Coturnix japonica: one gene and its partner. The protein of the gene in region 1 interacts with the protein of each later gene in a pairwise test. Links are inferred from orthologs where the notes say so. Each region holds a gene or a part of one and is shown on either strand. Other genes may lie near its edges.

Evidence for each region.
Region 2: the proteins of CLIP4 (region 1) and JAKMIP2 interact in binary tests that used the Homo sapiens proteins (3 or more experiments, as listed by UniProt). The two-hybrid records come from large-scale screens. The link is inferred for Coturnix japonica from reciprocal best matches to the Homo sapiens genes CLIP4 and JAKMIP2.

The regions. Positions count from the first base shown.
Region 1 is NC_029518.1:10,058,599-10,062,412, reverse strand, and holds part of CLIP4 (CAP-Gly domain-containing linker protein 4), read left to right. Parts: 5' UTR 1-8; intron 9-537; 5' UTR 538-551; coding exon 552-684; intron 685-2,942; coding exon 2,943-3,085; intron 3,086-3,814.
Region 2 is NC_029528.1:182,891-187,271, forward strand, and holds the start of JAKMIP2 (janus kinase and microtubule-interacting protein 2), read left to right. Parts: upstream 1-1,415; 5' UTR 1,416-1,562; intron 1,563-4,381.

The DNA of each region.
Region 1 (3,814 bases):
ACACGGCGGTAAGTGTGCTATTTTAATACACAGAGAGGAGAAGCTGAGAAAGGAGATGATAGAGTCGTGCATCCAGGAGTGAATCACTCAGTGATTAATCTTGCTGCATAAAGCTGCATACAGTTCAAGTCATGAGAATTAGAAGGGGGAAAGCAGTGGCTGGGAGCATGTTCTTGCTGATAGTGTGAGATAAAGATGTATGTCAAGTGTGAGGTAAAGAATCTGCTGCTTCACCTTTTTGTGAAGTTGTAAAGCATGTAAATTAGTTATTTCTTGTAGTTCCTAATTACAGTGTAATTTTCACACTGCCTGAGTGGGAAACAGTGGTGAAATTTTATGCTCTTCGTTAATTACGTGTGAGTTTGGTGGTGAAATCAAATCTAGTAGCTGGGTATCCTTGACACCATCTCCACTCCTAAGAATGAATGCATTTTATTAGTTTGCTAGAAGGTGATATTTTTATGTTGCATTTTAGTGCAAATAGAACTAATCCAAAGAACTTCTATCAGTGCTGGTCTTTTTTCCCTCCATCTAAAGGAACTTTCTGGAAGATGACCATAGAGGGTATCCCAGAACCTTCCTTTGAAGGAGATTCTTTCCCTGCAAGAGATCAATTTCTGTTTCCAAGCTCTGAAACCTCTGTTACTTTTTCTGTTGCTGCAGCACCAATGCCTTCAGACTGCGGTACGTATGTTAACAGGATACGAGTTTGTGGTGAGCAGGGATTAAATTTGAGTGATAAATATTAAGAAAAACTACTGGTTCCTTACACTCTCATTTCAGAAAAAGAAAATACTGCTTAGTAAATACTGTAAATGGATTCTGTTATTTTAAAGGGAGATGAAAAATGAAAACTCATGCTTCTCTTATTTTTCTTATTGCATATACTTTTAATTCTTTTAACTTTTACTGTTTCTTCTCTATGTGTGGTTGGATGTTTGTAGGTCTAGGTGTAGAATTGGATATTGTATTGAGGTGCAAAATTGCATTAATTAAATTCAGCCCTAGTTGTGTGTGCATCACACTTTCCTCACTGGGCTTTCAGTACTTAAACTGAATGTTTCTGTTGGAAGGGTAGGATGTTTGTAGGGGTGAGGGCTGTGGAATGGCTGTTTACAGGAGACCATAGCACCTTCTGGTGACTGGCTTTTGGAAAAAAATGTCATTGTCTTCATGTGTTTTTAATAATTAGAACAAGAAATACAATAGATTGAAACGTCCTTTTGGCTAAGGATCTTCATAGGTAGCTACAATTGTAATGTTTTCAAAATGGCATTTGTGTACCTTAAAAAGTAAAGCTTTAAGGCATCTAGATGCTGTTATCATCATACTGTAGAACTTTTAAAAGATTTTTCTGGATCATGATGTTGGTTTCCTCTTGCAAGCACTGCAGCTGATTGGCTGTTAAGCACTTATGATGGTTGCTGTTGATATATTCTTACTCTTTTTTTGCATTGCAGGCTGTTAGATTTGATTACGGGTATGGTTTGGTTTGGGTTAGTAGCTGGGAAACTTGGCAGAATAAGCGTTTTGTATGTCACATAAGATGATTAATCTCGTTGGCTGGTCATGTTTCCTTCATAGCTTTCAGCATGAGATAACAGGTCTACACAGGAGCTAAATATTAAACAAGAAATCAGATCTGTGTCAATGCATAGGACATTAATTAAGAAGCATGCTTTCTGTAGTGTGGGGAATTTTATTTCATGAGAAGCCATAAAAAGTCATGGTAAATTGGTGACAGTGTCTTCCTTATTCATTCTTGCTGAATCAAGGAAGTGCTGTTAGGGGAGCACTAAGTACTCAGGAAGCGAGCTACATATGTGCTCTTATTTGTTAATCCAATCTAGAACTGTGGTGTGCTTTCTTTGAAGAAAGGTTAGGATGGTTCATCCAGAAGGTAGCTTACAATGTGTTGTATACCCAGTCCTATTTCTGGTCAGTGATACTGTGTGTTAATTACCCTTTGTTAGTTATCCATTCTGAGAGTGTTTTGTCTGTAGTTGGTGCAAGCTGATGTATGTTAACTTGAAACCTTTTTAGAAGGCAACTCTATGACAACTGCAGCAGGGATGAAAGTTCAGTGTTTTCCATTATTCTATCATTTGCCTATGATAGTAGGTTCTGCTTCCCTTCCTTCTCCCAGTAGCTACTGCTGTCCACATTCTTTCTGAGTTGGAAGAAATTCCATCAGTTTAAAACAGTACAGTTTGTGTATATGCATAGATATACACGTGTAAGTAATGCAAAATACCATACTTGAATAATAAGGTGTTTCTCATAGCTGAATTTTTGGGTTGCCTGAAGCAATGCGAGGCTTAAAATCTTAAAGGGCTTTTTTTGTTTTTCCTCTCACTTTGATTTGATAGCTTATTTTATTTGTTAACCTGTAGTTGCTATGTGGTGGGATGGATATGTTCATGACAGGAAAAAAATGGAGGCCACTAATGCCTTCCTAATTTGTGTGTGTATGTTTTGCTATGTTTTATGTGAATTGAGATGGAAGGAGAAGGAAAGATTCTTCCATATGCTGTAAAACATTGTGTGTATATTTCATCACTTACCATTGAGAGCCTGGCCTGTGCTTTAGGAGCAGCTTGATATCAGCAGCATTGCCTAGCTTGAAACAAGGCTGAGCCTTTATTGGCATAACCACTGCCCATCTCTGCTGGTCCTTGCCTAAACTTATCATCAACCTTGTAGTACCATTGTACTTGGTCCCAGTTCAAAACTTTTTTTGGCTGATAAGCAAGACTTGAGTATAAATAGACCAGACATTAAAGAACCTTATCTGAATTAATCAGACATTCTAATTTTCTAGTGGTTATTATTGAAGTAACATCTCTTGTGTTCTTTGCCTCTGAGACTGAAAACTATACATATTCTTGGAGAATATTAGAACTTGTACATAAACCCTTTTTTATATTTGCTTTTTTTTAAAGCAGAGTTTTCCTTCTTCGATCCCAATGATGCTGCGTGCCAGGAGATACTGTTCAACCCCAAAACGTCTGTTTCTGAATTGTTTGCTATCTTAAGGCAGTGGGTTCCACAAGTCCAGCAGAACATTGATATTATTGGCAACGAGGTGAGGTATAAATGAAAGTCAAGCATTAAACATACACTTTAGTGACATGCATTTATAACAGCTCATTCAAAAGCAGGACTGTTCCTAAATGCCTTGTCATAGTTACTGGCTAGTGCATTGTGTGGCTGTTTTCAGTTGGAAAGAAGGAAAGGATTGGTTGATAATTTAGCATGTTTGGATAGATGGTAGAAAATGAATGTTTCTTCTCAAAATGGTTATTACTTAGAGGCCTTCAACCTTGGTGCTTCTTTTTCTTATTTAAGAGTAATCAAAAAATTGATACGTGAAGTTTCACTGAAGCCTGACCTTAAGGGCAATGTTTCCGAGGCCAAAATGAGGTAGAATCCAAAATATTTCTGAGACTTGCAATAGGCTGCTTTCATAGGACCTGCTGTTTATATTCTATCCTACATTCATATTTTTCTTCTGGATTATAGGCTTTAATGTGGGTAGGTGGGAAGGCATGGAAAAATTCTTCCTACCATAATATAACAAGTTTTCTAGGGGAGAAAGAAGTATTGAGAAGCCAAGTAACAGGAAGGAGAAACTTCTTAGATGCAGTAGTTTTCCTGTTGTTCAGTAAAATGGTTAACTTTCCAGCACGTGTCATATATATCATTAGTAATAGTATAAGAAAATGTTACAAGTGTTAAATAATGAAAGTTATCAATGTTCAAATAATGCTGTCTTTTGTATTTCTGCACATTGCTCAGTTCTGCACTTACAGTG
Region 2 (4,381 bases), on another chromosome or scaffold:
AGTAGAGGTATATGCAGCCACGTGGCAGTTACAGCAGCCTGTCCCATCCAGGCTTGTTTGTGGTGCCACTACCTGTCCATCTGGGCTGGTGCAGGATGGTGTTCACCCTGTCTGGGAGCTGGCAGGTAGAGGTCTGCATAGGGGCTGCCTCACAGTGCCTGCAGGTCAGCCTGGCTCAGTTTCAGGCTCTGGGAAAAGGTGCCAGCCTGTAGTGCTGCCCAGGGGCTGCTCTCTCCAGCCAGTGGAGGAGAAGGCCCTTCTTGCATGTCTCAGACAGATCTTAAATTCTGTGCCGTGGTAATGTGTGAATTATGACACTTTCATGTTGTCTCTATTTCTCTTAGTGGACAATGTCTCAGAAGATTCAGCTGTCCTTTGCTAGCTTGTGAATCCTAATTACAAACAGCTCTTAACATTTGGGGAGTCAGTGAGTAGGTAACGATATTCTATGCTAGTGTCAGTTCTGTTTGTCAAAAGAGTGACCTGGAATAGTAAGTACTGCTGCTGTTAAGGTGTCAGTACACAGTACAGTAGCACAGAAGAGTACAAATCCAGAAATCACCGATCTCTGTTTCTTGAAAAGGTTTGTTTCCCGCTGTGTTGCCATGCTTAGCAAAAACCAACACCTGGTAACAACAAAAAAACAAAATTTTTGGTCTTTGGTTCATGAACAGAAGAGTTTGCTTTTGCAAGACAAACTCCTTACCTGAAGAGGTTTAGCAGTTGTGTTTATCTCCTTTGTAAAGAGGTAAATGGAGTGGTTTGTGTGTTTATGGGCTGCAGCACCACCTCTGGTGTCAGGAAGAACAGAGATGAGGATGCTTTTGAAGCATCTGAGCGTGGTTTACTGTGGCCATTGCTTTCATAGCTCTTACTGGGGGTTGGTTTACACCTAAGAAGCCGTAGCGTACTGCAGGTTATTCGGATCTAGGGATGGTGGTTCCTTCTGCGTCTGTCTGGGATTGAAGGATTTTAAGGATGCCTGTTTAAGGATGCCTGACCATAAAAGGTCCGCGCCCTCCGGGCCGGCTGCTCGTTCCTTTCGGACGGGCTTCCAGCCGCGGGCAGCCGTTCCACGTGAAGGCTCACTGCGTCCTGCTGCAGAAGCGTTCCTCTCACCAGCTGCGACCGGCGCGTCGCGGCTCCGCCCTGCTGAGGGGCTCCGCTGGGGCGGCCCTCGCCCTCTGGGGTCCCCGTTTCCGCGCCCCACCGCTGGTGCGGGGCCGCTCGGGTACGACGGGCTCTGCGGCAGTTCCCCCGCAGCTCCGCTACCGGCCGGCGGCCCCGCGCCCTATCCGCCGTGGCGTTGCTATGGCTGCGGCCGCGCGGCGCTGCGGTGGCGGTAGCATCGGCGGTGGCGGGGCGGCGCCTGCCGCAGACCCCGGCCCGGCAGCGCAGGCCTCCGCCGCGGGGAGGCGGCGGGGCGGACGCCCGCCCTCAGCGTCGGCGCGCAGGGGGCCGGCAGCGGCCGGGGCTGGGCGCTGGAGCCGCCGCGGCAGCAGAAAGATGGATGCGCCGCAGCCGTCCTTCGCCGCTCAGCATCCTCCCCTGTCCGCGGCACGGTAAGAGGCGGGGGCTGCCGGAACAATGACGGTGACGGTTGCGGGGATCATCGGGGATCAGGGCCGGGGCGGCGGCGGCGAGGAGAGCGAGCGGTGGTACTGAGATGGAGGCCGAGGAGATGCAGAGAAAGCTGATGGGAACGAGGAGTCAGGGATGCAGGTGATGATGGCGGTGGAGGGAGAGGTGTGGCAAGGATGCAGCCTGCAGCCGGAACCCGCCTTAGCCTCCCTCCTGCACCATTGTGCTCCAGTTTTGTCATTGTCTCGACTTCCTCGCTACGGAACGCAGCGTGCGGGCTGTGAATTGCTGCCCGCCGCCGATGGAATTTTTACACGACTGAATCTGATGCGTGCAGAGGCGCAGCCGGCAGAGCCTGGGATGGGCCGCGGTGAGATGGCACTCGGAGCTGGGCGCTGGCGCAGCTGAGCAGGAGCAGCTGTGAAGGGTTTATTTTTACTTGTGGAGCATCTTTGCCTGTTCAGCATTGCACAAGGTTTATTTCTGTGCGTCTTCTTTTGGAAATTCATTTGTAAATGTCTCAGAGTTGGTGGATTTGTGTGTGTGTGTGAATGCACACTGCCTTGCTTAGAGACCCCACGAGCTTCACCCCTTTGTACAGGCAACACTTTTATTATGATTTTTTTATTATTTGACAGCCATTAGCTGATGAAACATGCAGTTTATTCTTAGATCTTGGAATTGCTGCCCGTCAGCTTCATGATGGCTGCTTAGGACAGGTCTGCATCATGCATTGGGGCACTGAACAGTCATTTGTAGACTGTCTGTTTTCTTTTCTGAATGTACGTATAAAAAAGATGCTGAGCATGCCAGGTAGGTTGGGAACATTGAGATGTGTGTATTTAAAAAATGTAATTTGAACTCTTGTAAGGAAAAAAGTAATGACATGTATTGTTAAGACCTTTGCATTCTGCGCCTGCTCTGTGCATTACAGTAAGGTGACATGTTGGGATCTTATTCTCAGCATCTTCCATCTGTTGGGTCAAATTCTGCATGTGTGCATATACCATGCCCTGCTTAGTAATTTGGGCTTTCTGTGCCCAGTCTCCTCAGCAGAGTGTTTGATAACCTTGTCCTTGTAATATTTTGGCAGGTTTTGACAAATTCTCCTGCTAGCCATTTCCAAGTTTGCCTTATGAATGAGAGCCTCTGTGTTCCTGCTTACTGGGAAATGAGCACAAAGTACAGCTGAAACGTGGTGGTCTGTTAAGGAGAAAGCTGGCTGTTGCCCTTTGTAAAAGTATGGTGGAGTCTGTGAGACTTTTTATTGTCAAGGTGTGTAAGTTGCTGGAACGGTGCTGCAAAATTTCTCTGTTATTATGAAGGAAAAGTGAGCTCAGGGTGTTCAAGTCAGGAAAATACTGTGAAACACAACTGTCAGGACAGTGCCCAGAATAATTCTCAGTTTTGTTTTCTATTCATCCAGTTGACACTACTGATACTGTGGTTTAAATATTGTAAAATAATAGCCCTCCAACTTGTAAAGGAAGGTATGGTCATGGATTCTGCTGTCATAATAATGGTGTAGGTCAGGCGTTGTTGAACGCCAAGTAGTTTGTAAATCACAACTTTCTTCTTTTTCTTTTTTACTTTCTTTCTAAATGAACTTTGGGACTGACCATGCTGTGAACTCATCTTTCACTACTGACCGCTGCTGTTTTGCACTGTGGTCAGTATTTATGCTTTCTATTTTCTGTGTGAAGTTGTGAGACAGCAAAATAAGGATTATCACCTACCTGAAATTTGGATCACTCTGTCATGCTCTGTATCTTTTTCATTCAGCCAAATTCCTCTACAACCCCTATGCATTGTGGCAGTTCAATATTTGGGTCACTGCAAAGTAAATGATTAGAATAAAATAATTACTTTAATTGATTTTACGATGGTATGTTTGCAGTGCATGTTTCTAAAACAACAGCCTGCTCTAATTCCCAGGCTGGAACCTTTTCAAAGTTCCTATATAAGTCTGTATCACATTTCAAGATCTGCTCTTGACTGGATTATTTCCCATCTTCAGAGACTGATTCTCTGCTGCCTTCTTTTTAGTCATCATTTACATCTGTGCAGGGCATCAATGTGACTCTGCCATCAGCTTTCAAGATCTGGAATCTTTATTTCTTGTTTTTATATCTTTAAAGGTCTATTTGAATTTTTCCTTTAAAACATCAGGACTGAAAATCCTCAGTACCCTCCCCCACTCCCCTCCGTTCTAATCTCTTTGCTCCAGGAGTTGGGGATCTGTATAGAAAGTTTATCAGCATGTTGCTGACATCAAGTTGCAATGAGTATATTTAGCAACTCTTTTGTAAATGATGGAGAAGCTGCAGTTTGCACTGTGAAGTATCCAGTGAACATGAAAGGAAAAAATAATGATATGCAAGTGCTTTTCTGGATGCAGGCTTTCAGTTTGGATCACAGTGGGTTGCTGACAAACTGTGGCACATCCTGGAACCTTAGGGCCTGTGTGGGTTGTTTTTTTTTCCTGGAAGATCACATTTGGACATTGCAGCCACTTCCTTTCACTACTGTCAGAATAAAAGCAAAGTGAACTGAATGATGTGCCCATCTACCCAGCACAGTTACATGAGAAAGAGGCAAATGAATGCAGAAAGTATTTCAGTACGTGACTACACTATGAGAATCCTGTCAGTGAACTGTGCAACAGCAGCCAACAAATAATAAATACAACTGAAGAGCTGATACTCCACAATTCTATTTCTAACTTCAGATGAAATATAATTCTGTGATGAACAATAAAACAATAATTAAATTTATCTTTATAAAATACAACTAAATGTCC